Linked DNA regions of Arabidopsis thaliana. The protein of the gene in region 1 interacts with the protein of each later gene in a pairwise test. Each region holds a gene or a part of one and is shown in the gene's direction. Other genes may lie near its edges.

Region 1 (8,211 bases):
TAGCAAAAACAATTATGGTCCATGTTCAATTTTTTGAAATATAGATCCTAATTACAAATGTAAATAAGATTTTGACCTTTGTGTACACTAGTTTTTATGGTAATTTTATTTTTTCATATTTTTAGTATTTTTGTTGCTATTTCGTATCTTTAGTTCTTTTTTCGTTATAGTAATTTTTGATGCTATCTTATCATGTTGGAAAATTAACCCCATATGCATATATGTTTTATACTCCTCTTCTAAAAAGAAATTACTTATTTCTCTTCTGTTTTTTCCCACACTTTAATTAAAAACATCATTTTGTTTACATGCAACAATATAGCTAGAGATGTATATTTAAAAACCCAATTAAAAGTTTACATAGAAATTCATAAAATATCTAACCATATAAAGCAATAAAAACATTTGGAACATCGACGTATATGAAATAAGCATAATTGTTTTTTCCCTAATAAGTATACTTCATATAAATGTTCTTCCAAAATAATTTGGTGTAGTTGTTATGTAAAATATATATTTGGATTCGGCTTTGTTTATTATGACTTTATGAGTTTCTTTTATTCTTCTTCTAGAAATATTATTTGCAGTCTCTAGAAAACTAACGATTTATTAAAGAATTTTAATTTGCCGATTAAAGTTTTCTTCTAGAATTAACATTGAATTTTGGAATACTTTCTACGATTCCATGCATTTTAAATTAGAAAACCATAAGAATATCGAGAAGAAGGAAAACGACTTTCTAGAATTTGATTTGAATTTTAGTTGCTTCAAAAACATCGATTTTAATTCATTGTTGAGTAGTAGACTGAGAAGCTAAAATGTATGAAAATATAATATTTTACTCACAAAACCTAAACCTAACCCCTCTCCCTCTCACATACTATATTTATATTACGTACTATTATGAAAACGACGTTGAATCTTGAATGTAATGTCTATATATAAACAGTTAATATATAATTTAACGTGACATGAAAAAGCGTAGAAAATTGGTTACACGAGTTAAATATAACCATTTCTTTCGGTTGGTGGATCGAACTTTGCATCGACCTTTTACTGGATTTGTTTTCTTAACCACTACAAAGTTTATGCATCGATCGGCTGTAGATTTGTGACCTTAGTTTGAATTTCGGTTTAAAAAGTTAGTAGCTATATCAAAAATGTTAAACTAAAATATTGGTGAGATATTAATTATAGGACTAGAACCCACAGTCTATAAATTTAAGAGAAGAAAAAGAAAAAGAAAGAAGATGTCGGCATCAGAGGAAGACCGGAGCAAGTCGTGAGAGTTGAAATGGTCGGACACCACATGCTCTCTTTCCCTCTCTAATAATACATTATGCAAGTTATCAACTCTCTCTCTTTCTCTTTTTTTTTCATTTATCACTAATTGACAAATTATAATTGTTATAAAAATGCAATATAATTAATGGATTTCAAATATTATCTATTTTTTCTTCCGATATTTGATTAGAAAAATTACTTTTTAGTGTAATTTTAAGTTTTGGTGTTAAAAAAAACTATAATTTTAAGTATTATTTCAGAATATAATTTGATCTGAGATGGGGATAGTTATTGGGTAGGCGGATTTGCCCTACATATTGACAAATGCTAGGCACTTTTAATGGAGTTGTGGGGAATTTACTATGGTCTGCTGATTGTTTGGGAGAGAGGCTTAGGAAAGTGGATTTAGAGGTAGATTCAGAGTTGATAGTAGGATTTCTTCAGTCAGGGATAAGTGAGGCATATCCGATAGCTTTTGAGATATGTTTGTGTCATAGTTATTTTTCAAAGAATTGGTTAGTCCGAATTTCTCATGTGTATAGGGAGACTAATCGTCTAACAGACGAATTAGCAAACTATACGTTTTATTTGTAGTTAGGTTTTCATACATTTGATTTTTGCGCTGATGTAGTCCATTTGATTATGTTACAGGACGCAGTGGAAACAGACGTCGAGTTTGTTTATAAATTTTTTGTAATTTAATCTAATAAATGGTGAAAGGCAATTGTTTCCTCCACCCTACCAAAAATAAAGAATATTCCAAATGAAGTTCCATAATATTCTTCGGGGTGTAGAATAGAGGTGTTTTCTTACAATTTAGGACGTCTATACTAGTAGCTATGATTGAAACCAAGACAAATCCAACAATTGTGGTCCAAAACAATATTGTACATTGCTTAAGGAAAGCGTTGAAGATAATAAATCAGAATTAACCAAAAAGAAAGAAAAATAATAAATCATTGTTATGGTCGTCTTATGGATCCTAGTTATATACGAATTGAGTTTTCATTCATAGTTGAGAACGAATTCGTTTGCTCGCGTGTGAGTTTAGATCGTGGTTGTTTTTGTTTGATCGTCTACTAGTGTTAATTAAGATCATTATTTCTTAAACCCTTGAATGGTTCTTCTAAAACCTATGCAATGACCGTGAAAACGTTGATGATATTAGTTTTAACCAAAGAAATGTTATGCTAATAATGATATTGTGATGTTAAATTAATAAAGAAAAGGTTATGCTTAGCATGATCCCAAGCGATAATTCGTGTGTCCTATCATTAGGTTTGGAAAAACTCTACCAATCATAGACGATTAGACCAGTATAGTTGATTATAGTTTTCAGAATTCAGATTTCAGACCAAAGATAGAGTTGTGGACGTAGGTTTCTTGATTTTTGTTTTGTTTCTGTTTATGTTTTTTTGTCGTTATACATGGATAAAAAAAATTCCAACCAATCGTTACCTTGAGATGTGTAGTTGGACTTTTATTGCCTCATCAATACACTTATACAAAAGGTTCAATTTTCTGTCTAATTATGGACATGTTTATTTCAAATGTATGGTAATCTTCCAACACTTATAATACCATAATGAAAAATACTTCTGTTTATATATATATTGAACTGAGATTCAATTAGTGCCACCCATGTGACCTGATGGACTCTCCGTAGACAAATGTGGGGGCAATTTTGTTGGATCAACCAAACCCAACATTTATTTTATATCTGATTTGAAGATTACATTAGTAAATAAACAATGGTTAGAGTCAAGTTTATACAAATATATGGGACCCAACTAATAAGAAAAAAAAATTATTGACGTCAGATATATACTAATAAAGTATATAACAAAGGACCCTCAGTGCATGTAATTAATATATATTTTCCAATAAATATCAAACTATAGATTTTCTAATGTATTTAATGTTATTATTTCTAACTAGTAATTAATTGATAATTTGACAAATAAATTTTTGTTTCACATTATTCTTATATAAAACTGTAAATGATTTGTAGCAAAAATACAAAACTGTGTATATAATATACTTTATAAATAGTTTCTATGTATTGGATCCAAGTAGGATTTCGAAGACTTTGAAGGGCACATCTTTTTCAAAGTTTACTTATACATATTTAATGTAAGATAAAGTCATTGTTTATATGTTTTTTTCTAGAACACTTAAATTTCCACAATATGATAATTTAAATTAATTGAATTTTGTTTTACTTTGGTTGGTTTGTGGATAAAATCCAAATATTACAGTCACTATCTTTCGACGTGTCTCACTTGCAACCTAATCCTTTTCTGGAATGTAGCTTTTTTTTTGTTTGTCAATTTTATTTCTTTCTCTCTTAATCCATAAAAATTTTAGGCATTTTTGTATTACTGTCAAAGAACTGATTAGCTATGTCTTCTATATATCTAAAATAAACCATAAGAATCATAGTTCATACTCATTATGGTATTCTTAATTTTCTGAAACTATCGATAAAATGTTAAAACGTTATATACAAAAAAGGACTATCAACGTAGCAATAAAATGAATTTAGACTTATATGAAAGCTAATGGTGACGAAGAAGTTGACGGTGATGCCGGTCATTTGGGTCGGTGGTGGTTCCGTCACGGAGACTTTGACGGTGCATTATTGACGTCAACATGAAGTAGCTCTCACAAAACACAAAAAGGACCGTTTAGTTTGCTAGTTATTAAAAATATAATGGGCTTCAAGCCCATAATAACATGTCTTTTTACAAAACAGAAGCCACGTATTATATAAACCCATTTTTTAATATATAAATAATTGGGCTGTACTTGGGCTTGGACGGTTTCACTCTTTTATTTTTATTTTTTTAAAGTTTTTTCTATATTAGTAATGATATATTTACAGTGGAAGCCTTTTTGGCGGAAAGTTCTATTAATACTTATACACAAAGAAATTGAGGTTCAAGTCCCAAATACTGTGATTTATTAGCAGATAATGGAGATAAGTGTGCAAGAGATCTCGAACGATGTACAATTATAACTGTTTGCCAGGATTTGAAGATCTTTCAAGGTGTCCATCAAAAGCATGAAGACGGAGAAGAAAGTGTCGTCTTTCGTGGATCTAATAAAGATCGAAACAAATTACCCATAATAGAATCGGCTATATAACGGTTCTCATAAATCATAATTTGCAATAAATAATAAATCTAAAACGGTAAAAGAAAAATATATTTACATGAAAATAACATGTCATTTTAAATATTTCCAGAATTAAAATATAATTCCAACTGTCAACGGTCCATATACGTTATCTATAGACTATATAGTACATAAATTATTTTAAAAAGACAAATAATTTGTTTCGAGAAATAATGTTGCTGTCTCGTCAAAATTGGAAAAAAAATACATTTTAAAATACAGAGAAACGAATTATTGAGAGGAGAAATTTAGAGACCATTCAGGTTTTGATTGAAGAAAAAAAAGATTCCCATTTTATCATCTTTTTAGTTTTTAGTGTCAACTCTCCAACAAAAGCAAAAACCTTAAAGAATTTTGTTCTTTTTTTAAAGCAAAAGAACCAAACATGGTTTCACATGAATCCCAATTTCATTGCAAAGCATAACTAAAAATAAAGAAGAAGACTTTTTGGAGATCGAATCTGTTCATGTTGATGGGTTTTGGCTGAGCTTTCTAGAGATAGAGCTAGAGAGTACTGGGTCTGTGTAAAGTTGATAACTTTTTTTGGTTTAGAGAGAGAAAGGACAGAGCTTTACAGAGATGGAGATGAAGCAGATGAAGTTTCTTACTCACCAAGCTTTCTTTTCCTCTGTTCGATCAGGAGATCTTAGTCAACTTCAACAGTTAGTTGACAATTTAACCGGAGATGAGCTAATCGATGAGTCATCGCCGTGTTCTGCTGTGGCTGAGCTTATGTCTGTGCAAAACGACGCCGGAGAGACCGCCGTCTATATCTCCGCCGCAGAGAATCTTGAAGACATTTTTCGTTACTTGATTAGGTTTTCTAGTTTGGAAACAGTTAAGATCAGATCCAAATCCGACATGAACGCTTTTCATGTCGCTGCCAAGCGAGGTCACTTGGGTATGTCTCACTAATTCTGACTTCAAATCTTCAAACTTTGGCTCTCTGATTATGATTTTGAATCTGAAATTGCTGAAAATGGATTTGAATTTCGTAGTTTGAAGATATTTTGATGTGGCTCTGCTTATGATCTCCAGGAATTGTGAAGGAGTTACTGAGACTATGGCCAGAGCTTTGCAGAATCTGCGACGCTTCCAACACGAGTCCGCTTTACGCAGCTGCGGTTCAAGATCACTTAGAAATAGTAAATGCAATGCTTGATGTTGATCCTAGCTGTGCAATGATTGTGAGAAAGAACGGGAAAACATCTTTGCACACTGCGGGAAGGTACGGGCTTCTTCGGATAGTGAAAGCTCTCATAGAGAAAGACGCAGCGATTGTTGGTGTTAAAGATAAGAAAGGTCAGACTGCTCTTCACATGGCTGTTAAAGGACGAAGTTTGGAAGTAGTCGAAGAGATTTTGCAGGCTGATTACACAATATTGAATGAGAGAGATCGAAAAGGGAACACTGCTTTGCATATTGCTACTCGAAAGGCGCGGCCACAGGTATTACTCCACTCCTTTCTTAGCTTCTTGTATTGCTAGTTAGCTTTCAAGAACAGGGGTTGACACATAAATGCCTTTTGTGTTTTGTTTATTAGATAACGAGCTTATTGCTGACCTTTACGGCGATTGAAGTGAATGCGATTAACAACCAGAAAGAAACTGCTATGGATTTGGCGGATAAGCTGCAATATAGCGAATCTGCTTTGGAGATCAATGAGGCTTTGGTAGAAGCTGGGGCTAAGCATGGGAGGTTCATTGGTCGAGAAGATGAGGCGAGAGCATTGAAGCGAGCAGTGAGTGATATCAAACACGAGGTGCAATCGCAGCTTTTGCAGAATGAGAAAACCAACCGTCGTGTCTCTGGGATCGCGAAAGAGCTGAGGAAACTCCACAGAGAAGCGGTTCAGAACACGACTAACTCCATAACGGTAGTGGCGGTTCTGTTTGCTTCCATAGCGTTCTTGGCCATATTCAACTTGCCGGGTCAGTATTTCACGGAGGGGTCGCATGTGGGACAAGCCAATATTGCAGGGAGAACCGGATTCCGCGTGTTCTGTCTTTTAAACGCGACATCTCTGTTTATATCGTTAGCGGTTGTGGTAGTTCAAATAACTTTGGTGGCGTGGGACACACGGGCGCAGAAGAAAGTTGTGTCTGTAGTGAATAAGCTAATGTGGGCAGCTTGTGCTTGCACATTCGGAGCATTTTTGGCGATTGCATTTGCGGTTGTTGGAAAGGGGAACTCGTGGATGGCGATTACCATAACGTTGCTTGGAGCACCGATCTTGGTAGGGACATTGGCAAGTATGTGTTATTTCGTGTTTCGGCAGCGGTTTAGGAGCGGCAACGATTCACAGAGAAGGATTAGGAGAGGGAGTAGTAAGTCGTTTTCATGGTCTTACTCTCATCATGTATCCGATTTTGAAGATGAATCAGATTTCGAGAAGATTATTGCTCTTTGAATTAAGTTTCTTAAGCGTCTTTGTATAGATCGTCTCTTCTCTTTGCCTTTCTTCCAACGCAAGTCTGTGTTGTATTCTTAGAATAAATCTTGTTGGTACATATTAGTATCATATATAGCAATAAAGTCGCCACAGGCCATATCTGTATTGTTTCTTTTGTTCTACTACTGGAAGTGGTTAGTATATGTACAATTCATTCGAGTACTAGTGAAGTGTAATGTCTCTTATTAGCAAACATTGTATAAGATGTAAATCATTGTGAGATGAGGAAAATGTAAAAAGGAGCATCATTTGACATAAAATATCCAATAAGTGACCTCTACAAACTCATGTGGTTTTCCAGTTATAAAAAAACAACACAAAACCACATGATCACTTCTTTTTCTTACATCTCCACATAAGGTAAAAATATAAAAAGCTCCAAACAATGAAACAAATTCAAAGAAACGAGAAACCCCCAAAAAAACAATATAAAGGTAGACTGAGGGACTGAAGAAGAATCTCTCGTAAATAAAAAAAACCCGACAGAGAGAAAGAGATGATGGACACGACCGTAGCTTTTCCACAAGTTCCGTCGAAACTTGAAGAGTTACTAAAAAAGAGAGATATACAATTTTACAGGAGACAAAAGGGATCGGTGGTGTCCACACAAAGAAGATGAAGATGATGATTGTCGGGGATGGAATATTATTTATTATTTATGATTACCAGGTAGGTTAAAGCTGTAATTGACCAGGGCCTTTTCTTGAAGTTCTTGATGGAGGTCTATTGTTATCTGCAACTGATGATGATGTCGAAGAAGGTGGTGGTCGTTGTTGTTGTTGTTGTTGCTGTTGTTGTTGCTGCTGCTGCTGTTGTTGTTCTTCAGATCTCCTCACCTCCTAATACATCAAATTAAAGCACAATGAGACTATCCATATCTCTTAACACTCCAATTGCTAAGGGAAAAAACCGGTAAATCTTGCAAAAATGGCAATAATGTTACACCATCCTGTTATATTATACCGCAGGTTAACAGACAAAAATGTGTAGCGTTATGTGTACCTTTGATGTAGAAGAAGAGGAAGAGTGATATGAGTAGTTCACTCTAGTCCTTGCCTGGCCACGATGTAGATTCTGTACGTTTTCGAACTGTTGTAGCCGCACAGCAAAATTGATTCCTTGGTGAGAACTGTTGATGTTATCGTCTTCTAAGTCACCGTCCTCGTTTTGATGCTTATACTGAGAGAAAGGAACTCCTGAAGTTGCTCTGCCTATTTGGTTTCCAGTACTGAATGAGTACGTTGGCACAGTTTTGAGTCTTGTCCTAAGTATCTTGAACGCCGCACTTTGCTGCATAT
Region 2 (9,298 bases), on another chromosome or scaffold:
CTATTGGATCGGTTTAATGGCGTTTCTTCAACAAATCTCCGGTTTAGGAGCTCTCGAACGATCTTGTCCGTCAATTATGATCGGATCTTCATTCCGGAGCGGTAATGGCCGTGTATTCGACGGAAGAGGAATTGCGTACTTGGGTTCGAGGGAAAAGTTCGGATTCAACAGACGAAGAAGAGTCGTTCTTAGAGTTGTTGCGATGTCGTCTTCTTCTACTCCGTTCAAAATGAATTTGAATGAGTATATGGTCACTCTCGAGAAGCCCCTCGGGATTCGCTTCGCACTTTCAGCAGATGGCAAGATCTTCGTCCACGCCATCAAAAAAGGGGTATTCTCCGATCCTTAGAATGTCATGTGGAAGTAGTAGTAATCTCAGGAGTTTTGAAAAGTTATTAACTTTTTTGTTTGTTTGTAGAGCAATGCGGAGAAGGCGAGAATCATCATGGTAGGAGATACACTCAAGAAGGCTAGTGATTCTTCTGGTGGTACTCTTGTGGAAATCAAGGATTTTGGTGATACCAAGTAAGAATTGTACAGTACTAGGCTTCTATATAACTTGTTAATGTTGTTAACTAAACATTGCTGGTGACTAGTTAACATGGGAAGATTTAGCATGGAAACACTTTGCATATCAGTGTTTTTGAAATTTTCTTTTTTATTTCTTCCAGTTTTTGATTTATTCAGGAAGATGCTGGTAGAGAAAACTGGATCCTTTAGCCTTGTTCTTGAAAGACCATTCTCTCCCTTTCCCATTCAGTATCTGCTTCATTTGAGCGACCTTGATTTGCTCTATAACAGAGGGCGTGTGTCTTTTGTTACTTGGAACAAAAACCTCTTATCATCGAATCTCAGAGCATCATCACAAGGCAGTGGTAACTCTGGCTATGCTGCGTTTTCCTCCAAATTCTTTACTCCTCAGGGATGGAAACTTTTGAATAGACAGAGCAATTCCTTTCAGTCAGGGACTAAGAAGAACATTCTTTCTCCACCTATCAGTCCACTGGTCTCTGTCTTTTCAGAAGATGTTCCTGGAGATGGGGAATGGGGTTATGGGAATTTCCCTTTAGAGGAATACATCAAAGCCCTTGACCGTTCTAAAGGAGAGCTTTCTTATAACCATGCTCTTGGAATGCGCTACAGTAAGGTCTGAAATTTGTCTCTTTTTCCCGATTACTCTTGTTTCATGATTCTCTCTGTCTCTTCAATCTCTCAAACACCATTCTTCTCTTGTTGCCTTTTTTCAGATTACAGAGCAAATATATGTTGGCTCTTGCATACAAACAGAAGAGGATGTGGAAAACTTGTCGGAAGCTGTGAGTCTTTTATATGACTTATATTACCTACCTATGGTATGCAAATGATAGAATTGAAAGTATGGTTTTAACTGGCCATACTTTTCTTTCTACAGGGAATTACTGCCATACTAAATTTCCAAGGTGGAACTGAAGCTCAAAACTGGGGGATCGATTCACAAAGTATCAATGATGCATGCCAGAAATCTGAAGTCTTAATGATCAACTACCCTATAAAGTATGCAAAGTCATATCGCCTTGAGGCACATTATGTGCGTTCATGCTTTCATTTCCTACCGCTCTAATCAGTTTTGATATTTTGGTGCCAGGGATGCAGATTCCTTTGATCTTAGGAAGAAGCTACCACTTTGTGTTGGGCTCTTACTACGGTTACTGAAAAAGAACCATCGTGTCTTTGTAACTTGTACCACTGGTTTTGACCGGTCATCCGCTTGTGTGATTGCTTATCTGCACTGGATGACTGATACCTCTCTTCATGCTGCTTATAGTTTCGTTACTGGATTGCACGCTTGCAAACCTGACAGGTTTTTATCCATCTTATCTCTGTCTTGACCATTAACCTGCAGACCATGGATAGCTTTTCTGTTTTAATGAAAACATCAGACAAGTTATATGTATTTTTTCACAGACCTGCAATTGCTTGGGCAACATGGGATCTTATCGCTATGGTGGACGATGGCAAACATGATGGGACTCCAACACACTCTGTAACCTTTGTGTGGAATGGACATGAGGTGACTGTTGCTTCACATGCTTTTATTACTTTGCTGCAATTCTTTATGGAACTCGTGATCTGTAGGGTTGAGCAACTAGCCTCTGTGTTTTAAGTTACACCTTGGTTTACAGGGGGAGGAGGTATTGTTGGTTGGGGATTTCACAGGAAATTGGAAAGAACCGATAAAAGCAACGCACAAAGGCGGTCCACGTTTTGAAACTGAAGTTAGACTTACACAGGGAAAGTAAGTCATGCTTCTTTTACCTTTCCCGTTGATGCTTTTTTTAAGGTTCAACAGTAAAACGTCTCATAATCTTCCCTGCATGTTAATTGTGACTTTTGAGGGATTGCAAACTGCAAAGAAACTTATGAAAATGCATTTGTGTCATATAACTTGGTGATTATTGACAATGTGGCAGATACTACTACAAGTACATAATCAACGGTGATTGGAGGCATTCAGCAACTTCACCAACGGAAAGAGATGACCGAGGAAACACGAACAATATAATTGTAGTTGGTGATGTTGCTAACGTCAGGCCTACAATTCAACAACCAAGAAAGGTTACTCCTACTATGCAGTAGTCTCTTCTTCATACAATAGGAAAAGCTTGAATAAGATGTTCCACGTTATATTTGCCTGATTGGTTCAAGACATAAACCTGAAGCAACTTGTACAATGTTTTGCAGGATGCAAATATCATAAAGGTGATCGAGAGAGTGTTAACAGAGAGCGAAAGATTTAGGCTGGCGAAAGCAGCTCGGTGTATCGCATTCTCAGTTTGTCCAATAAGACTATGCCCAAAGTCGTAGAAGTTTTGTTTTGGCATAAGTTAAAATGTTACATCCATTCTTCTGTCTCTATCCATTCCTCGAGGTACTTAACCCTAATATCGTTGTGAACAACATTGCCACATTCGCGCACTCTATGACAAGAGAATGTTGACATTATGTTGTGTGTTTGCATGAAAAAATGTCGACATAGTTTCGCCGTTGCCCACTTTACATATAAGTCCCAAAACCAACCCTAATGCGTTACTGGTCTCTGTATTTCTTCTTCATTTTCTCTCTCTCTCTCGCTCTCTCCTAACATGTTGAAGAAAATAGAAACTCTGTTATCTAATGTTGCCTATATGATGATTTATGGCCATGGAAGGTCTGAGAGGAGAGACCCTTCTTCTCTATTTTTTTTATTTCCTCTTCATTTTCATGCTAAGAGTTTTCACTGAGTCTGTTGTTTCGTAGAGTAGAACAGTCCATGATCGATGTTAATCCTTTGCATCTTCTAGATTGTGTATACAATAGCAATCTCTGGTCTAGAGAGAGCCTAGAGAAGTATGGATCTTTCTATATGTATACCACAAACAAATGGCCTAACATCTAAAGTGGGTGGTGATTATTTAAGATGAGAGCCTGAGAGGGTAAGTGAAAGAGGCTGATCCTTGTTTTCATGATAAGGGACCTTATCCTCTAAACCTTTCTGAGACCTTTTATTTTTTTATAAAAAAAAGAATTGAAAGAAGAAAAGAGCACGTAAAAGTTTTGAAATCTTGAGCTAATATTCCTCATCCACAAGAAAAGAAGAAAGTTTGTTATTCACCGCAGCTATCGCTTTCGTTATCCTCGTTCCCACAACCTCACCATGACCATGAGACTCCGTTCTTTTAAACTCCCAAATCTTTCAACCAATCCCATTATTCACTTAAGTATATAGTAGCTTCCATAAGAGTCTTAGTTCTAACTATAAATACACATATCTCACTCTCTCTGATCTCCGCTTCTCTTCGCCAACAAATGTCGACCGCTCCTCTCTCCGGCTTCTTTCTCACTTCACTTTCTCCTTCTCAATCTTCTCTCCAGAAACTCTCTCTTCGTACTTCTTCCACCGTCGCTTGCCTCCCACCCGCCTCTTCTTCTTCCTCATCTTCCTCCTCCTCGTCTTCCCGTTCCGTTCCAACGCTTATCCGTAACGAGCCAGTTTTTGCCGCTCCTGCTCCTATCATTGCCCCTTATTGGGTATACATTTTTACATTCATCACTGTTTCTTAACCTACATTATTTCTTACATAACTTACATTGCTGTTTACGTATAATAGGGGTACATTACATAGATAGCAAACTAAAGTTACAGAATTTTAAAATTTGTAAAGATTTTACGAAATTATTATATAGATTCTGCAATTGCCATTTTAGTGATAGGAACAAAAATCTTCTATAGAAACTAGCTTACGAAACTTCCACAAATCTTGGAAACTGTCACATGTGTTTCACATTTCAGTTTTTTTTTCCCTTGGTATTTCCTTATATTATCCTTACTATTATCATCCGTGTTTGACTTTTGGTCTTTAGCGTGGTACTGAAAGAATTACCCAAATTAACAAGAATCAAACTAAAGTTGCTTAATTAGTGAATCACAAGCAAGGGAAGAGTTCATTTTCAATCCTTATTCTATACAGATCTTCAAACTACTTGCTTCGACATCTAGTGAAGTTAAAAACAAATCACCTCGAAATATTAAAAGCGTTGTCTCATTCCTACCCAAGATCCGACATTTTTGAAATTTTGAGAGTTAGAACGTACGTAGGATCCACGTGATAAAAGAAAAGTTGCTAGTAGTAGCTTCAACAAAAACGATTCATGAAACTGAGACGTGTGTGTATGCACATGTACCATATGAGAGCGTGTGGAGCATAGTGGTGATTAAGTCGCCATCTATATTTATTCATTCAACCTACCGATTTGGTTCCTACTAGCGAAAATAAAATCATAATATAAAAGACTATAAAATTGTACTTTATCGTATAATGAAGTTCTGAACAGGTTGATTGTAGTTTCAACATTTAAAACACGTCATGACTCGCTCTCTACTTAATTACGTTCACGACAATAAAATATACTAGTACTCATTTTCTTCTAATTTTATTTGGTCAACCAACTTGCAGAGTGAAGAGATGGGAACCGAAGCATACGACGAGGCTATTGAAGCTCTCAAGAAGCTTCTCATGTAAGTATATACATCTTTTCTATTCGCATGCATACATTAATACATGATTAGATTAATAAAAGCTAAAACATTATTATAAATTAGTAACGGGATTTTTCAATACTACTTAATTCATAATTTTTGTGATTTAACTATAAATGTATATAAACATATGGCAGCGAGAAGGAAGAGCTAAAGACGGTTGCAGCGGCAAAGGTGGAGCAGATCACAGCGGCTCTTCAGACAGGTACTTCATCCGACAAGAAAGCTTTCGACCCCGTCGAAACCATTAAGCAGGGCTTCATCAAATTCAAGAAGGAGAAATACGAGTAATATATATTTCTATTTCATTTGTTTGTTCTTAATTATGTCACCAACTAAAGTGGTCTAGATTAATTAACTGGTTCATATTTATACTTTTATTTGCAGAACCAACCCTGCTTTGTACGGTGAGCTCGCAAAGGGTCAAAGTCCTAAGGTAAATTAAAAATAAAACTAATACTATGTGTATATCATGGTTGCTTATAAATTAAAAATGAAACATTAAGAAAAAGTAATTAACAAAGGTGTGTGAATGGTGGTGCAGTACATGGTGTTTGCTTGTTCAGACTCACGTGTGTGTCCATCACACGTTCTGGACTTTCAGCCAGGAGATGCCTTCGTGGTCCGTAACATAGCCAACATGGTTCCTCCTTTCGACAAGGTTAATAATTTAACACGTCTGTCTCTCTATAGATATAAACTCTTCTATCTTAAACCTTCTGCCTCTTGAGTCTTGACTTTTGTCTTGAGAAGTCGTGACATTCACTTTCTATTTTCATTTTTGGGTTGCTAAATTGGCAGGTCAAATACGGTGGCGTTGGAGCAGCCATTGAATACGCGGTCTTACACCTTAAGGTGAAAATAAAATAAAATAATTAACACCTTAACCAAAAAAAATTATTTATCAAAGTACATGTAATTAATTTTTGAATGAATTTATTACTGTAGGTGGAGAACATTGTGGTGATAGGACACAGTGCATGTGGTGGGATCAAAGGGCTTATGTCTTTCCCCTTAGATGGAAACAACTCCACGTAAAATATCTCTATATCCATTTTATTAAAATTTAATCAATTTTAATAACAGGATTTATTAAATGAGATTAGTAAAAAATATATACGTTAATTGCAGTGACTTCATAGAGGACTGGGTCAAAATCTGTTTACCAGCCAAGTCAAAGGTTATATCAGAACTTGGAGATTCAGCCTTTGAAGATCAATGTGGCCGATGTGAAAGGGTATACAAACACATGTTAGATCGATGAGCTGATCATATATAACAATATAAATGTATTGATAAATGCAGGAGGCGGTGAATGTTTCACTAGCAAACCTATTGACATATCCATTTGTGAGAGAAGGACTTGTGAAGGGAACACTTGCTTTGAAGGGAGGCTACTATGACTTCGTCAAGGGTGCTTTTGAGCTTTGGGGACTTGAATTTGGCCTCTCCGAAACTAGCTCTGTATGAACCAATCCATCATCATCATCATCATCATGACCATCCATCATCATCATCATTATTATCATCGTATATAATATATATCTACCCCATATGTAATTTGTAATGTGCCTTTGACTGTGATGAGTTATCTCTCCCTCTCTACCAACTTTCTTCATATATATAAAACAAAAAGGAAAAGCAGATGATATAGATCTTTCGTGGTTTAATTATGAACAATTGTCTTTATTATTTGTGTATCAAATCGGTTGTATTTATGGTTTGATTTTATTTTCTATGTTGTTTGGTAGGTTAAAGATGTGGCTACCATACTACATTGGAAGCTGTAGGAAACTCTTTGAAGCCTTACCCGATTTCACATTGTCAATTCAATAACACCAAGTTGTTGTTTACATGCAGATCTTGATGAAACTGGTTTTTGATTTTACAGAATTAAAATCTTGGGGGACAGAAATTTGAATAAAAACTAAAAAAAAAAAAATCAAAAAAAAATCATTGAATCGTAAATAAGGATATCCGGGACGGGCGGATCCGGATAATGAAAAAAATGAACCCGGATATCCGGATCCGGTACCATTAACTACATGAAATAAAAAGGCTTGGAAACCCATTTAGCTAAAAGCCCATATATTTAACAAACCAAATATTTTTGATACCCAAGCCCAATTAATTATCACTTGCCGACACAAACACAAAATCATTCTTTGAAGGTCACAAAATCATTTCGATCTCTTCTCGATATCTCACAAACCCTAGAACTCTGGATCTTTTAATTTCTGGGTTCGATACCCAAATCCTTAAAACTGTCGAATTCTGGTACCCGGAACCCGGATATCCCAGTCTAACAGATCCGGATGCGGATAGTGAAACTGTAGATTTGTAGCTTCGTAGTTTTTTGGTCATATAAAATATAAACATCTGAAATTTGTCTGTGTATGTTGCTGTTTAAATTTGTCCGCCTACACATTATGGGCCTAGGCCCAAGTTTGCAATTCTTTATTGTGGCAATTAAATGGTCAGGTTCGGTTTAGGTTTTACATATCCATCATGAAAAAGCACCGTTGAACGGGCTTAAATCTTTGTCCAAGGACGACGTTTATGAATCCGGTATAAATCGATCGAAGAAGATTAAACCCACAAAACGAAAAGGCTAAAGCTTGAGGAAAAAGTAGCAAAGTGACCAAGAGTCCCATGATTTCATGAAGACATGAACTATATATATCTACTCATTGATTTGATAAATACATTATATTTGATGTTACATATTTTTATTTGAGATTTCTAATATATATTTTCAGAATGATAAATTTTATTTTTATATTTATCTTGAACTGATTTTTAAGAGAAAAATACACCGAAAGAAAGCGAAGAGTTAATTGCCTACCAAAAAAAAAGAGAAGAGTTAAAACTTTTTCCTTAAAAAATCTTAAATAAATTGAAAAATAAAATCAGAAAAAAATAAATGATAACAGTATATCAGACCATTGTTTTGGACTTTTGGGTCCGGATACAAATTATTATCCAAAAGAGAGTTGTGAGAAGTGGAGCCGACACACGTCGACCCCTAGCACCTTAAGGACACCCCATGTGGTCACGTGTAAACGTTTGTTTGTCATAAAAGAAAGGTTTTTTGAGTATGAAGAAATCTGAGAAGTCTAATCACAGAGAAGAGAGAAGCGAGAGTTAGCCTCTTCTTTAGTTGTTTGTTGCAATAAACACAAACACAACTTCCCTATTTTCTGCTTCTTTTTGTTCAACTCCTACACACTCCAATCACACAATTCACAACCCATTGAGAAACCAATAAAATAACCTCAATCAAAAAAAAAAAAAAAAAAAAAAAAAAGATGAAAATCTCAATTTAGTAAAGGAGAAAAAAGCCATTTCGAATAACTTGAAAAGGTTTTGGTTTTGCAGAAGAAAATGAAGGAGAAGGCGGAGAGTGGTGGAGGAGTAGGATACGTGAGAGCAGATCAGATAGATTTAAAGAGTCTGGACGAGCAATTGCAGAGACACTTAAGTAAAGCATGGACGATGGAGAAGAGGAAGAGTTTGAGTGATGGTGAAGATAACGTCAATAACACCCGACATAACCAGAACAACTTCGGACATCGACAGCTTGTGTTTCAGAGGCCGCTTCTTGGTGGTGGATATAGCAACAACAACAACAGCAGCAAGAACGACATAATTAGGTCGACCGAGGTTGAGAAGTCGAGGAGAGAGTGGGAGATTGATCCTTCTAAGCTTATAATCAAAAGTGTGATTGCTAGAGGTACTTTTGGTACGGTTCACCGTGGAATCTACGATGGTCAAGATGTCGCCGGTACAATTTCTCTTTCTCTCTCCCATCATTCATAACTTTTTGTTTTTATTCTAAGAAATATGTTTTAGATATGTATACGTACCCTCTTTTGGTCAAATTATTTAGAGAAGAATCGAAACTTTCTTTCCGAAAAAAGTAAATAAATAATCGAATTACATGGAAAATATTATTCTTAAATTTAGGTTTCTTAATGATCAAGTTAAACAAACATGCATTAGTTAGTGTAATGATTTTTTCTTTTCTTTTTTTACTCTAGGTTTGGTAATATGTTTAACATGTACACATTAATTTTTTGCTAATCCGCTAAATACCGGCTGATATTTATATTCCGTAATTTAGTGATAGATAAAGAAACTAACAATTTTTTTTTTTCTTTACACTTATCAGTGTAATTAACAAAATTTGGATGTATTCAATTGAACCTTTTTCTTTGGTAACTCTTGATTTATGTGTGAAAA
Region 3 (7,699 bases), on another chromosome or scaffold:
AGTTTTCTGTAGTAACCAATAGAAACCACAAGTATACACAAAGGAATTTTTAGAGCCCCCTTTGAACACTAGAACCAATCAATAAAACAAAACCTCTTACTACATTGAACCAATCCAGCTAATGATCTGTTATTGGCTGTCTCGTAAGAACTTACCCTCTTTTGGTATGTAATTTTTTAATTTTAACTATTTCTTGTCGTTTGTGGTGTTTTTCTTATTGTACTTGTTTGTCCGATTCAATTAGCGTAAGAGTAAAAACCTATCCATTTCTTTGGTACCGTCCTTTATATTCTCTTTTCATCATTCTTCACCATTCAAGTTTCAACCTTTTGCTCACAAAAAATTTAAAAGTAATTTCATATTTTCATCTTTATCATTTTGTTGGACAAAAGAAAAAGTCGAATAGTATCCGATGTGAGATTTACATGTCACATAACCATTACCTCTTGGCAGTCCCATTCAATCGATAACTTGTAATTTGTTTTTTGTAAGCCTAGAAACCATAGACCTATGAAATAATTGAGTACTAGTTGCTCATATAATTTGTACAATACACAATACACAACAAAATAAATGGTCATATCCGCAAATATCAAAACAATATTTTCTTTAGTAAAATAACAAAGTAAAATGTCTCCTCGACTCCTCCAATTGCTTATAAATTGAGGTGATCCCTTATTTCATTATTTCAATAAATTCCACCAACGTCACTCTTTCTCTTCTCCCAAAAGCCTCAACCAAACATTTTCCCTCCCAAATCTCTAGAATAATAACTTCAAAAAATCACACTCTTATCTCCATAATTACACTAAACCTACTCTTCTCTCCTCATTTAACCACAAACCCACTTCTCAATTTCTCTAATTCTCTACCCAATTTTTTTTTTTATTCAAAGGGAAAAGAAACAGAGTAAGAAAATGAAAATGAGTGATTATTGGACAACAATGGCTTCTCTACTTGGCATGTTAGCCTTTTGTCAAACAATCGTCCAACTCGTGTTTCCGCCTGAACTCCGACTAGCTTTCCTCCACTTCTTGACACGTATCCGCCACGTGTTCTCTTCTCACATCTACTTCGACATAACGGAGATTGACGGCGTCAACACCAACGAGCTCTACAACGCCGTTCAGCTTTACCTCAGCTCTTCCGTCACCGTCAACGACGCAGTTTCTAGCAGCAACAACAACACACGTCTCAGCTTGACACGTGTTCCTAACTCAAGCTCCGTTACTTTCGGCCTCTCCAACAACGACAGAATCACCGACGTATTTAACGGCGTCACTATCCTCTGGGAACACGTCGTTGTACAACGTCAAGTACAGAGCTTTTCGTGGAGACCAATGCCGGAAGAGAAACGAGGGTTTACGTTACAGATCAACAAAAGAGACAAAGCCCTTGTCCTAGATTCTTACCTTGATTACATTGTCGGAAAATCAGAGGAGATTCGTCGGAGAAACGAGGAGAGACTGCTTTACACGAACTCAAGAGGTGTTTCGCTCGACGCGAGGAGCCATCCATGGGATTCTGTAAGATTCAAGCATCCAAGCACGTTCGATACTCTGGCTATGGATCCTGAGAAGAAGAAGCGAATCATGGAGGATCTAAGGGAGTTTGCGAACGGACAAGGGTTTTATCAGAAAACGGGAAGAGCTTGGAAACGAGGTTACTTGTTGTATGGACCACCTGGAACTGGCAAATCGAGTTTGATTGCTGCAATGGCGAATTACCTTGGTTACGATATTTACGATCTTGAACTCACTGAGGTTCAGAACAACTCTGAATTGAGGAAGCTGTTGATGAAGACTAGCTCTAAGTCTATCATTGTCATCGAAGACATTGATTGTTCTATCAGTTTGACGAAACGAGGAAAGAACAAAAAGAAGAATGGGAGCTATGAATATGATCCAGGTTTGACAAACGGGTCGGGTTTGGAGGAACCGGGAAGCTCGGTGACTCTGTCGGGGCTATTGAACTTCACAGATGGGCTTTGGTCTTGTTGTGGGAGTGAGAAGATATTTGTGTTCACGACAAATCATATAGAGAAGTTAGATTCTGCTCTGATGAGAAGTGGGAGGATGGATATGCATGTTCACATGGGTTTTTGTAAGTTTCCGGCTTTGAAGATTCTGTTGAAGAATTATCTGAGGCTTGAGGAAGAAGATATGGATAGTGTTGTTTTGAAGGAGATGGAAGAATGTGTGGAGGAAGCAGAGATTACTCCGGCTGATGTTAGTGAAGTGTTGATTAGGAATAGGAGTGATGCGGAGAAGGCGGTGAGGGAGATTGTGAGTGTGTTGAAGGAGAGAGTTGTGAAGAGAAGGAAGAGTGTTGGATTGAAGAAGAAGAAACAGGAAGGTCAAGAAGAAGAAGAAGAAGCAGAGGAAGAACAAGAGAAGAGAGCTTTGGATAGTCCTAATAGAAGAAACAGAGAGGTTTGTGGGTTTCGAGAGGAGGAAGAAGAAGAAGATGAGAAGGAGAAGTGAATGATAAGAGACTGTTTATCCTAGGATCATCATCTAATGGTGGTTCTTGTGTGTTTTTAATTATCCGTTTTGTTTAGTCAAAATTATTATAATATATGATTAGTTACCATATAATATAACGTTATCCATTTTGGTTTACTCTTAAGTCAAAAGTAGGCACTGTCCAAAGTTAACCTTCTGAGATTTGCTACATGAGAGTTGAGACTAAACTGGCTTTTGTATCTACTAATGCTGCAGAAATTGCCACTTTGTTGTTGTATATGTTGTCTCAAATTTTCGTGTCGGTTACGTTTGTTTTGAAGAGATAAAAGAGAATTGGCGTTTGGACTTTGGGTGTTGTAAATTGGTTAGTGTCACACCCTTTTTTATACAGGTTATATGTGAAACCTGTAAATTTCAAAATTTATAGTTCAAGAAAACAATTTACTCGAGAAGTGACATTTAAAGAATCATCACATCAAACACTTGACTTCAAACTAGAAGTGACCTGAAAAATCCATCCGTTCTTTTTTTTTTTCTAAATATAATATTGACCGCTGATTTTTGACATATTGTAGTAGTGAAGCCCAATCCTACCCAAAGAGATTTGCATCAGAAAAAAGTTGTTTTATATTATGGGCCCAATCTTTTTGATCAAAAAAAATATATATATATATTATGGGCCCAATCTCTAGAATCTACCACCGGTTAATGTCTAAATAAGAACAAAAACAGGTCTTGGTAACTAATTAAAACTGAAAACACCAAAATCAAGGTTGGGATTTGTTGAAGAAGGTGGTATTTCACCATATCACAACAACTAATTAATTAAATTTATTTAACAAAACATGTCTCTCCAAAACTGAAAACACCAAAACATGTTTTCATTTTATGAATTTCAATTTAACTAGTTAAAATTTTGATATCACATGCGCTACACATGCCACCTCAATTTGTCCTGCTCCTACTGTCTATTACTAAACTAAAAGTTAAAATTAGCGTTGAGTTTTTATTGAATTTATTTACTCATTAGCATTTGACTTGTATAGAGAGTATTAAAATAAAGAATAATAATAATAATATAATGCGGTTGGCGAACAATTGATGTTGCGGCAAACCGGTAGGCCCAACAACAACACGGACATTCTTGATGTTTTTCTTTGACAAGCGGTAATCTCCTGCAGCTAAGACCATCTTACTTTAAATTATTTCCCAATTACAATAAAACACGTGTGAAATATGGTCAATTTAGTTCAGAGAGGCCTCTTTATTAAAATCTTCCATTAACGTTTAAAGTGAAGAAAGCAAAGAAATATCGAAGAATTTAAGGAATAAAAAATAAAAACAGAAAGCTGGAGGAAGAAAAAATAAAAATTCCTTCTTTCCTCCTGAAGGCAAAAAAGGAAGAGAAGAGAAGAGAAGAGAAGGAAGCAGAATCTAATTTTGGATTATAATCGGAGAGAGAATCTATTCCGACGAATCTTTTCGGGTTGATTTTTTGGTCTTTAATTTGAAGGGTTTAGGTGTGGTTTCGAAGATGATGGTAGCGAATAGTTTCGATCTATGGCAAAAGGATGTTTTTTTCTCTGCAGCTGAGGAGGTTCAAGAATCTGCTGATATGTATGTGTTTTTTGATTCTCTGTTTGTTTAATTGACTCATGTTGCTTGTGATGGTGGAATTCGGAATTTCAATTGAAAAATAGGGTATTTCGATTGTTTAGGGGACTAATTGGCTCTAGAATGGTCTAAGTGAGAACCTTTGTGTTTTGTGAAGGAATTGAGTTATCAAATTTGAAATTTTGTTTCTTATTTGTGTTGTATTTCCAGAATGGAATCTGCGTATAGGTTGTGGTTTAAAGAGAAGAGAGACGGTCGAGTATCCGTAGAATCAGACGAGCTCTGCAAAGAACTCCAAGCTGCTTTGAGCACTGCTAAATGGCAGGTATGAAACAATCAATGGTCCTTTGATCATTCCCTTTTTTTTTCATGGTTACTCATGAGTGTGTTAGTGATATTGGTTATATTGTTGTGACTTGAATCAGTTGGAAGAGTTTGAGAGGGCAGTGAGCTTAAGCCATGGAAATTGTCGAGATGACACTACCTTAACTAGGCATAAACAGTTTGTTACCGCTATTGAAAACCAGATTTATCAAGTGGAATCTACTCTGCTAGAGTCGTTAAGCGAGAATGGGAAACAACCTTTGCGTTGGGTGGATCTTAACAAAGAAGAGCGTGATGATCTCGCCATGTTTCTATCTGGATCTTCTCAGACGTCAGAGAGTTTAAACAGTGATAGCATCAACTTGAGAGATTCCTCAACGAGTTCTGTAGCTGAGAATCCACGTGGGATCAATGGCAGAAGAGAGGGTAGATGTTATGGCGACAGTCCTGATTGTGTGATAGACATTGACGACATAGGAAGTCCGGAAAGTGCAGATAAAAAAGGCGGTACAAGAAGAACATGGAGTTCACCAAATGTACCAAATATCAGTGCGTTGAGGATTAATGTCCCTGTTAATGCAAAAGAAGAAGAGAGGGAGAAGTTCCTATCACATATTGAAGACACTCCTAAAGAGAAAGGAGCTAAACCTATGTTTTGGCTGCAGAGATGTCGTGATTATAACCAGGTAAGCTTCTGCAGTTTGGATCATCTCTACACTATTAGAAAGGATCATAAGTCTTAGTTGTTTATCATTTTGCAGCTCTTTGACAGAGTCAAGGTTTATCAAAGACGATTTCGCGTTCCATTGAGCCGCCCTATTAAGCTCATTCTTTCCTTAACGCTAATCTTGATTCTTCTATGTGAGTCCTTCTCTTGGTTCTCATGAGTTATGTCACACCACTGTTCCATGACAGTCTCTACTCTCTATAACTGAATCAAATTCCTTGTTTATACCCTTGCAGTATTCATCTTGAGAACTTAAAACCGCGGTTTCAGAAACTCTCAAGAAACATTGACAGGTAAATGATATTTTAGATTCTAAATCAGAACTCCAAGTTTTCTAAAACAATCTTTAAACATTACATCCTTTTCGTGTATCTTGCAGGTTTTTTCACAGATTCTTGCGTATTGGGTTACACACTCGTTAGATGCTACATGATTCAACATCCTTCGAGGGAAGGAGGAGAGATTAAAAGACTTTGTCAAGATTCAAATGAAGGACAAAGCCTGATTTATTACTCTCTCTTAATCCTCAGGGAACATATAGGAACCTGTAAATTTGTAAGATCAATTTGTAAAACTTGAAGCTACGACGTTTCGTTAAACTTTAGACGTGTACCTAAAGGAAACCAATGCGTGTTTGTGCTCAATGATATCTCCAGTGTTTGTTTGTCTCTCAGATATTTGTTTTGGAACAAAACATTCTTTGTCCTCTTTCACTTACTTGGCAAGTCATTTGTTCCAATCATTGTCTTACTTTCTTTTAAAATGCGCATTATAGTTGACGTCTCAATTTCTTTCATCACTAATAGTGTCACAGCCCAAAAGTACCAATTTAGGTCAATTCTAAGCTAAGTAAAAAATCTTAATATTAGGTCGTATCATATAGACATATGATAATGGTGAAAAAGATTTATGAAGAAAGAAAAATGTCTAATAATTTTCGAATCTAGAAGTCTCTGGACAAAAGAAAGGTGCATGTCACAGTCTCTCAAGATGGAATTTGATCATACCATTTATCAACCATGAACTTCGAAGCACAGATAAATGCTAAAAAATGATACAACTTCCTGTCTAAATCATTAAAAATCGACTAGTCCCATTGGGAAAAGTAAGGTAATAAATTTTTCTCATATCCTTCTCGTGCTTCTTTTGATCATCATTCATTCCTCACCTAACCAATTCAATTTCAAAAACAATTTTATTAAAATATATATTGAAATATTCTAAATGAGCTGAAATACAAAATAACGAAAAAATCAAAGAAAAAGAAAAAGGTGTGAATAAGATGTGTTATGGTCCAAACTATTATCGATTCACCAAATAAATTACAATTTCGACATTCTTTCACAAAATAAATTAACAATATCGATATTTCTTATACTAAATGACGATCCTATCCTTCTTAATCAACGGCAGAGCAAGTAACCGCGCACAATGTTCGTAGGAATAATATAGTAATTTATGGATGAGGAACCCAAAACGGCGCCGTAGCAGCCACGCTTGTGGGCTTCTTGCAACTTAAAGCGTTGAGAAACCTCCAAGAAGGTGACGGTGATGGCGACCGAGATCCACGAGCTCTCCTGTTAGCAGGAGATGGAAACATAACCGGTGGAATATTCCGGCGAATCTGACGGCTCTTTATATCCTTGAGTTCGATCTCCGGCGGAAACTTAACCATTCCAAACATGATCACATACCATCTTGGCCTTACACTTTTTACACTTCCCGAAGACGTTGTTTCAGGCTTCCCCGTGTTTTTAGTCGATGAACTATTTTCCGGTGGAGAATGTACGGTGGTTAGACCACGTGAAAGCTTACGATAATCTAAAGAGCGGCTTGCCCTCATAGGTCCCGCATTGTCACGACGTGCCACGGTACAACTACCGGGACGGTTAAGCTTATGGCCTTGTATCGCGGATAAGGACTCAGACCGTGAACGGATTCGACGGCTAATGTGCTCAGGAGGTGAAAAGAAAGCATTTTGGTAGTTTAAAGGGATGAGTTTCCCGCCAAAGATTATATTTTCTGCCGGAGCTACGTCGTAGGAGGATGAGGTTAGAAACTCAAAAAGTTCCGTTGACGGTTCTTTGTGGTCTTCGGTGGTGGTGGGATTAGGATTCTTGGCTTTGAGGGGAAGATCTCGGAGAGATAGTGCGTCTTCTTTTTCTTCTTCTAGGTGATGTTGAAATGGTTTTGGGAGTTTAGTAGGGTTTTGGAGATTAGTGTTTTTTGTAGTTTCCATGTTTTTTAGGGAGAGAGAGAGAGAAGACAATGAAGATATTGAAAGTATTAATTTTTGTCACCATATATATACATGGTCTCTAGAGGGGTCAAATACTTTTACAGAACTTAAAGTGGAAACTATTTTGTTTTACGGGTTAGAATTCTTTAGGTGTATTTATATACATGCATATATTTGTAGATTGTTGACCATCCGAAGTTTCCGTTTGCCAAATTTCTCATGATTTAATTATTTCAGGTCGATATATGACATATTATGTTGGTAATAACAATAATACAATTTTAATGACAAGAAAGATAGCAAATCTTACTTATTATTTATTATTTAACC
Region 4 (7,153 bases), on another chromosome or scaffold:
TTGGATAAAAGAGAAGCGATCTTGAGAAATTGGTCTAGACAAAGTGGATTCCTTCTTCCATTTCGTATCACTTTCTTCCTTGCAAAATTCTACACCCTCTTCTACTTCTTCTCCCAGACGGATGAGAATCTGAAGAATCCTGCACTGGAAGCTATAGGGTATTGCATCGATGGGACAGAGAGAAGTAGCAACAAGAAGAGTGAAGCAGATGAGAAGCGACGACCTCTAGAGAAAGGGATCATTGAAACTATGCATGAGAGTGACGTAACCATCACACAATCTCTAACTGAAAAAGGTGTTCATGTTGCTAGAGACGATGGTGACAATGTGTACAGGATCAGATGCGATGCGGTTGTTGTAGGCTCAGGAAGTGGAGGAGGTGTTGCAGCTGCAAACCTAGCTAAAGCTGGATTGAAAGTCTTGGTTCTAGAGAAAGGAAACTACTTTACAGCTCATGACTATTCGGGTCTAGAAGTTCCGTCTATGCTCGAGTTATACGAAAAAGGCGGCCTTTTGACTACGGTTGATGGGAAATTTATGCTCTTGGCTGGTTCAGCTGTTGGAGGAGGTACAGCTGTTAATTGGTCTGCATCTATAAGGACACCGGATCATGTTTTGCAGGAATGGTCTGAAGGGAGTAAGATCAAGTTTTTTGGTAGCCAAGAATATCAGTCTGCAATGGATGAAGTTACGATAAGGATTGGTGTCACGGAAAGATGTGTCAAACACGGGTTTCAGAATCAGGTTCTGCGGAAAGGGTGCGAGAGACTCGGTTTGCAGGTAGAATCAGTTCCAAGGAACTCACCAGAGGATCATTACTGTGGCTTGTGCGGGTATGGATGTAGAGCAGGAGCCAAGAACGGGACAGATCAAACCTGGTTGGTTGATGCTGTAGAGAATGGTGCAGTGATCCTGACAGGGATCAAAGCTGAGAGATTTGTATTAGTAGACAACACTAGTAGTAGCAATGAGAGAAAGAAACGATGTGTGGGAGTGTTTGCTAGCTCTGTTGGAGGAAAGATTGGGAAGAAGTTTATTATCGAAGCTCGAGTAACGGTTTCATCCGCTGGATCGCTGTTAACACCGCCTCTGATGCTTTCGAGTGGGCTAAAGAACCCGAACATTGGAAGGAACTTAAAGCTGCACCCGGTTCTGATGACATGGGGATACTTCCCGGAGAAAGATTCTGAGTTCTCCGGGAAAATGTATGAGGGAGGGATCATCACGTCCGTCCATCATATGAATGATACTGAATCTGGATGCAAAGCAATACTGGAGAATCCACTGATAGGACCAGCTTCTTACGCAGGGTTGAGCCCGTGGGTTTCAGGACCAGACCTTAAAGAGAGGATGATTAAGTACGGAAGAACAGCTCATCTTTTTGCTCTGGTTCGGGACTTAGGGTCAGGTGAGGTTATGATGGAAAACGAAGTTACATACAGGACAACCAAGAAAGATAGAGAGAATCTGAGGGCAGGTCTTAGACAAGCTTTGCGGGTTTCGGTTGCAGCTGGTGCAGTTGAAGTCGGAACATATAGGAGTGATGGACAGAAGATGAAGTGTGAGGCAATTACTAAAGAAGCCATGGAAGAGTTTCTAGACGAAGTTGATGCTGTTGGTGGGGTTGGCACAAAAGGAGAGTATTGGACGACGTACTTCTCGGCTCACCAGATGGGTAGTTGTAGGATGGGAGTCACCGCGGAGGAAGGTGCGTTGGATGAGAATGGTGAGAGCTGGGAAGCAGAGGGGTTGTTTGTTTGTGATGGAAGTATATTGCCATCAGCTGTTGGGGTTAACCCAATGATCACCATTCAGTCTACTGCTTACTGCATCTCCTCAAAGATAGTTGACTCGCTGCAAAACAAAACAAAAGTATAGAGAAGTAAAAAAAGAAAGAACTGAAACCATCCCATTAGTATTCATATCGAATAAATATGTTTTTCCTTGCAAGACAAATTTTGTTTAAGAATCATGGAATAACTTATCTTGACGACAACAAAGATGTAAACAAATGATATATCATATATGCACCAAGATTCAAGAACGTTAAAGCTGTTTTTTTTTTTGTTTTTTTTGATAAACCCTATCGGCTGATCTGGTCAGCACCGGTAGAAATGCACCGAAATACTTCAGAATGGACTTCTTTCCGAAGGACCACCTCACTATCTGTCCCGAATTTGGATGCCTTCCGACTAATGCCAGGGGGTAATCAGGCCGCCTGTATTTCTGCCTACTAGATAAACCAATTGGGCCAAATCCCAACTGACAGAATTCCCAAACAAATGTGATTTTTGTTTCAGAGAGGATCGAACCCAGGTCTGGAAGTTTCACCCTTCCCCAAATCTTCTCCTACCACTGGACCACAGATGCTTGGGCTTAAAGCTGTTTGTTTGTTTTTTTTTTTTTTTTTTTTTGTTGTTGTAAAGTTTACTATGTTTCTTAAAATTTTGTCGTCAAAATGTAAAGTTAATATTTACGTGACTATACTTAACTTTTATGAAAATGTAAAGGATATAGGAATTTCCTTATTAACATACAAACGGGAGCTGTCTATAAAATATAATCGTCTCGAAACGAAGAAGAACGAAACATAAACAAAAGTGACTAAACAAAAAAATCGTTGTGTTGCAAAGAACAAGATGAATAGTGCTACCTCATATGCCATAGCCGTAATCGTTGTCTTCTTCGTCATCCTTTCGGCTATTTTGTCGTGCTGGTTTAGAGAGATTCTAAATTTTTTTAGAGACAAGAGTACGACTGATGTCTCTGCGAGTGAATAATTCCCTCCGTCGATTAAGGTAATCAACATTTTTTCTCTGAAAAGTATAGTTAATAATTGCAGGAATTGTGATGACTAAATAGTTCTTTTTTTTTGGTGTGGATAGGAACGATTATTTTGGAGATGCAAAATCAGAGTAGGGCGGGTTGTTGAATTTGTTTTGTTTGTTTTAGTATGACTAATTGTTTTAAGGGTTCTTTATTTTTATGCTATAGATTATTGAATTATTAGATTATCCTTCAATAGTTGCATCTATCGTGGTGTATTGTTTGTGTTTGGCGATTTTACATACAACAGTTATCCAAAAAAAAAGGATTCTAACAAACAAACACTACAAAGATTATGCAAGATCTCCAAGATAATTCCACAAGAGTTCATACTTATCTTGATAAAGAAAAACGTAATATCTATGATAATATGCAAAACTATTTACAAGTTTTAAGAAAAGCAAAAAATCAATTAAAAAATCACTTAAAAAAGACTTTATATTAGTTAATAACTTAATAAACACTTCCCAAACCTAAATGCACAACAAACGCATGGCCGAAACCGAAACGAAACACACAACACAAACCCTGCTCGGGTACGTCGTCGGAAAAATAGAAAGTCAAGCAAAAGCGGCAGGACTCGGCGGAGAGATCTCTGACCAGCTGCAGGTAAGTCAATGGGATCACTTCGCCGTAGTACGAGCAACCGCAGCCGGAAGAAGGGTACGGCGGTGAAGATGAATAGGATGCCTTCATCTCTATCGCCTCCTACTCCGCCTTGTAGTGCAATCGTGGGAGGGACGGGGAAGTCAAAGAAGAGAAGAGGAGGAGTCTGTCTATGGACGAGGTTTGATCGGACTGGATTCATGGAAGTGGCTGGATGTGACAAGAGCACCATCATCGAACGTTCTTCTGTTTCGGCTAAGGATTTAAGAACTGCCTTCTCGCACTCTTCTAAAATTCTAGGTATACACACGTTTGTGTCTTTTTTGCTGACTAGTTTTCACAACAGACAATAACAAATCCATGTCTTGCTATGACGCAGCCAGAGAGAAAGCTATTGTCCTGAATTTAGAGGTCATAAAGGCGGTAATTACTTCAGAACAAGTTATGTTGTTGGATTCTCTCCGTCCTGAAGTTCTTACACTCACTGACCGACTAAAGCATCACTTTCCTCGGAAGGATGGTCCTGAAAATATATTGCAAGCTTCTTCTCATGGTCATCAAGAAGGTGGAGAAGAGGGTTTGAAGAGTAAGCTTCCTTTTGAATTTCGGGTACTAGAGATTGCATTCGAGGTCTTCTGCTCATTTGTTGATAGCAATGTGGTAGACCTTGAGACACAAGCTTGGTCTATTCTTGATGAACTAACCAAGAAAGTCAGCAATGAGAATCTTAAAGACCTAAGAAGTTTAAAAACTAGTCTCACCCACTTGCTAGCCCGTGTACAAAAGGTAAAAGGTTATTACCTTTTCCAATGATACTATAATGTTGTGTGTTGGACGGAAACATAAAAGCTATAGTACATTATTCAGGTGAGAGATGAAATCGAACATTTCTTAGATGACAAGGAAGACATGGAAGACTTATACTTAACGAGGAAATGGATTCAAAACCAACAAACCGAGGCAGCATCAAATAGCATTGTCTCCCAACCAAATCTTCAACGGCACACATCAAACAGAATAAGCACCAGTATGGTGACGGAGGAAGATGACATTGATGATATGGAGATGTTGCTTGAGGCATACTTCATGCAACTAGAGGGAATGCGGAACAAAATTCTTTTGGTAAGTAGTAAATGTACCTAAATAGGTCTAAGAAAACCATATAAGTTTTAGATGCAAGCTCGGGTTATGTTTGGTTGTTATGTGTTAATGCCCGGTCCTTGGTAATTTAATATTTTTTTGAATTGCAGATGAAGGAGCATATTGACAGCACAGAAGCCTACGTGAAGATACTACAGAATAGTAGACGTAACGGACTGATCCACCTAATGATGCTTGTGAATATAGGCAATTATGCAATAACTGCAGGGACAGTGGTGGTCAACTTGTTCGGTATGAATATACCAATTGGATTGTATAGCACACCTGACATCTTTGGTTACGTTGTGTGGGCTGTCGTTGCGCTTTGCATTGTGCTTTTCATAGTCACCGTTGGTTACGCCAAGTGGAAGAAGCTACTTGACTGATAAGAGACTAAACACATTAGGTTTAGTCATTATGAGATTAGCTTTGTGGAATTCATTTTTTTTTTAGTTTGCTTTTTCTTATTGATTCAATGCTTTTGTTTTTATGTTATGGATTTTTGCATTAATAGTTTATCCTTCAAACAATTTTTCTATAAAAGGAGCTGGCTTCTTGATATATGTATGCATCATTGGTTACGAATCAACGTGTTAGGGAAAGCACAGATTGACGAGTAAAATCCATTACTTGGGAACAAGTTTATATTTGCATAGAACATACAAAAATGTTAACAATCTATGAGTGAAGTTTATGTAAATTTTCCTAGACTGACCTTTTGAGTGAAACTACTCTATGCCCGTTACAAACTAACAGTACGGGGTTACATTAGCCTTGTCGACACACGAAGGCCTCTTCGCTTTATAGTAGAAATGCGCAATCATATGAACCAATTCATCCGCCGTGCGAAAGTCTGCATCAAGTTCAATACGCTATGATAATCTATTGCTCACACATATTGCAAAAAAACATGAAAACAACGTTAGCAACATAGCTTATCACCTTTCTCCCTGTACAGAATCCGGTTTCCGCGTAAGAAGAGAATCTGTGGGCATTCCTTAGCTTTAAGAGCATATGCCAAATCTGTCTCGATGTTCAGGTCAATCTTAACCGCCTGTTTCATAAAACATGGTGATTCTTGTTAACAGAGAGCAGCCACATTAACATGTAATCACACCAAGAGAGATTAGTACACAAAGAGTAATGTTCAAGTTAAAACTGCAACTAGAGAAGGCTTTCGACATACCCGTGGAGGTAATCGATCTTTCGCATCCCAATAAACTTTGATAGCTTTCTCAAGCTCCTTCAATGTCTTCCAGTTATCACTAGCTCTATAAAACGCACAACAACTCAAAAAATTATTCCAACAGTAGTAGATTTTGGTCACTCTAAGAACAAGTTTCAGTTTTTATACTCATTGCAGTTAATTGATCATGGAATCTAACTCAAATGGCTCTTTCAACTTGTAATCATAGTCTAGATAATGTTGTGAAGGAAAAAGAACAAAGCTTTCATAGTTCTACTATGCACACCAAGTGTTTGTGAAAATTCGTCAATGAAATAACAAAGCTTATACCTTTTGTATCGCTCGAATACAAGGACAACGAGTGGACTAGGATGAAAAGCAAAGCTTTCCCATTCCAAACAATTGATCTCCTTGACCCAACTATCATCAATCTCACCTTCCCAATCAATCTCACTCCCATCATCTCCAACCACGTTTTTGATTGGATGTGTATCGAAATACTCCGAAGCTTTGATTCCCCATCCAACGTCTGTATCTACTGGCCAATCTGGATCTTCCTCTTCCACCACCATCTCTTCTTCTTCTTCCTCTTCTTCATCAACGCCTCTGTCTTTGATGAAATTCGCCTTCTCCTTGTTCTCAAAAACCTCCGGATTCTGCTCCTTTATGGTGGAGAAAGTACGCTCGAGGGAGCTTCTCACGTAATCTTCCACAGCGTCTGCTTCACTCCGCCGCCCACGCTTCGATTTACGCGGGACCTTTGTCGGAAACTTTTCATTGTTCTCGGTTTCAGCAATTGGCGTAACTGCTTCCTTATTTTTGCGACGGGACCGAGTTTGATTTTTGGATTCAGGGTCTAGTACGGAATCAGACGAAACAGCGGCGAAGCGTTTCACGCTCCGGGATGATATAGTCACCGGGAAAACAAATAGTGGGCTGCGATGCATATCAGAGAAGCTCGAATTCAAGCCGGTGAGAAGCATAGAAGATCTTGGCGCGGAGCAAGCAACAGCGAAGAAACTCATTTCTCTCGTTTCCTAAATTCAAAACGAAATTCGCAGAAATTTTTGGTAACTGAGTTTTTGCTCTTATAATCCACTTTGTCTGTATAATCCCGGTTTGGATTATTTCGGTTTGTGTTACTGTCCTTGATTTGGATCGGTTATCTTTCCCGATACTTGGTTTAGTTTATATAATCGAAACAGCGTCGTTTGAAATATTCATAATTTCATATACCTAGCTCCTCGCCTCCGTTAATGAAAAATTTGAAATATTTTTGGCAAATTTTAAAGTTGGATATGTTCTTTTTTTGGCATTTTCCCATTTCGTTATGTGATCACAATATCCATAATGTGATCACAAATTAGAAACATTGATAAAATATGTAAACTTTAC

The links.
Region 2: the proteins of AT2G01680 (region 1) and CA1 interact in a protein complementation assay, tested with the Arabidopsis thaliana proteins (one large-scale study listed by BioGRID).
Region 3: the proteins of AT2G01680 (region 1) and AT4G30240 interact in a protein complementation assay, tested with the Arabidopsis thaliana proteins (one large-scale study listed by BioGRID).
Region 4: the proteins of AT2G01680 (region 1) and MGT5 interact in a protein complementation assay, tested with the Arabidopsis thaliana proteins (one large-scale study listed by BioGRID).

The regions. Positions count from the first base shown.
Region 1 is NC_003071.7:301,557-309,767, forward strand, and holds AT2G01680 (Ankyrin repeat family protein), read left to right. Parts: upstream 1-4,694; 5' UTR 4,695-5,040; coding exon 5,041-5,362; intron 5,363-5,499; coding exon 5,500-5,909; intron 5,910-6,004; coding exon 6,005-6,871; 3' UTR 6,872-7,587; downstream 7,588-8,211. Other genes in the region: AT2G01690 (ARM repeat superfamily protein), read right to left, coding at 7,588-7,752, 7,916-8,203.
Region 2 is NC_003074.8:192,401-201,698, reverse strand, and holds CA1 (carbonic anhydrase 1), read left to right. Parts: upstream 1-3,538; 5' UTR 3,539-3,825; coding exon 3,826-4,047; intron 4,048-4,134; exon of another isoform or gene 4,135-4,851; intron 4,852-4,973; coding exon 4,974-5,035; intron 5,036-5,193; coding exon 5,194-5,343; intron 5,344-5,443; coding exon 5,444-5,492; intron 5,493-5,600; coding exon 5,601-5,717; intron 5,718-5,857; coding exon 5,858-5,911; intron 5,912-6,004; coding exon 6,005-6,090; intron 6,091-6,187; coding exon 6,188-6,293; intron 6,294-6,361; coding exon 6,362-6,520; coding exon of another isoform or gene 6,521-6,526; exon of another isoform or gene 6,527-6,807; coding exon 6,808-6,846; 3' UTR 6,847-7,273; downstream 7,274-9,298. Other genes in the region: LSF1 (uncharacterized protein), read left to right, coding at 17-331, 419-525, 688-1,147, 1,248-1,316, 1,412-1,533, 1,625-1,840, 1,945-2,050, 2,163-2,275 and 2 more; AT3G01490 (Protein kinase superfamily protein), read left to right, coding at 8,441-8,840. UniProt on the Arabidopsis thaliana protein: Reversible hydration of carbon dioxide. Required for photosynthesis in cotyledons. Binds salicylic acid.
Region 3 is NC_003075.7:14,806,046-14,813,744, reverse strand, and holds AT4G30240 (Syntaxin/t-SNARE family protein), read left to right. Parts: upstream 1-3,669; 5' UTR 3,670-3,999; coding exon 4,000-4,082; intron 4,083-4,289; coding exon 4,290-4,404; intron 4,405-4,504; coding exon 4,505-5,089; intron 5,090-5,164; coding exon 5,165-5,264; intron 5,265-5,366; coding exon 5,367-5,386; 3' UTR 5,387-5,423; intron 5,424-5,509; 3' UTR 5,510-5,856; downstream 5,857-7,699. Other genes in the region: AT4G30250 (P-loop containing nucleoside triphosphate hydrolases superfamily protein), read left to right, coding at 918-2,483; AT4G30230 (uncharacterized protein), read right to left, coding at 6,587-7,369.
Region 4 is NC_003075.7:14,120,046-14,127,198, forward strand, and holds MGT5 (magnesium transport 5), read left to right. Parts: upstream 1-3,443; coding exon 3,444-3,732; intron 3,733-3,811; coding exon 3,812-4,218; intron 4,219-4,299; coding exon 4,300-4,554; intron 4,555-4,682; coding exon 4,683-4,958; 3' UTR 4,959-5,044; downstream 5,045-7,153. Other genes in the region: AT4G28570 (Long-chain fatty alcohol dehydrogenase family protein), read left to right, coding at 1-1,878; MRL7 (polyadenylate-binding protein 2-binding protein), read right to left, coding at 5,322-5,425, 5,515-5,626, 5,759-5,843, 6,089-6,783.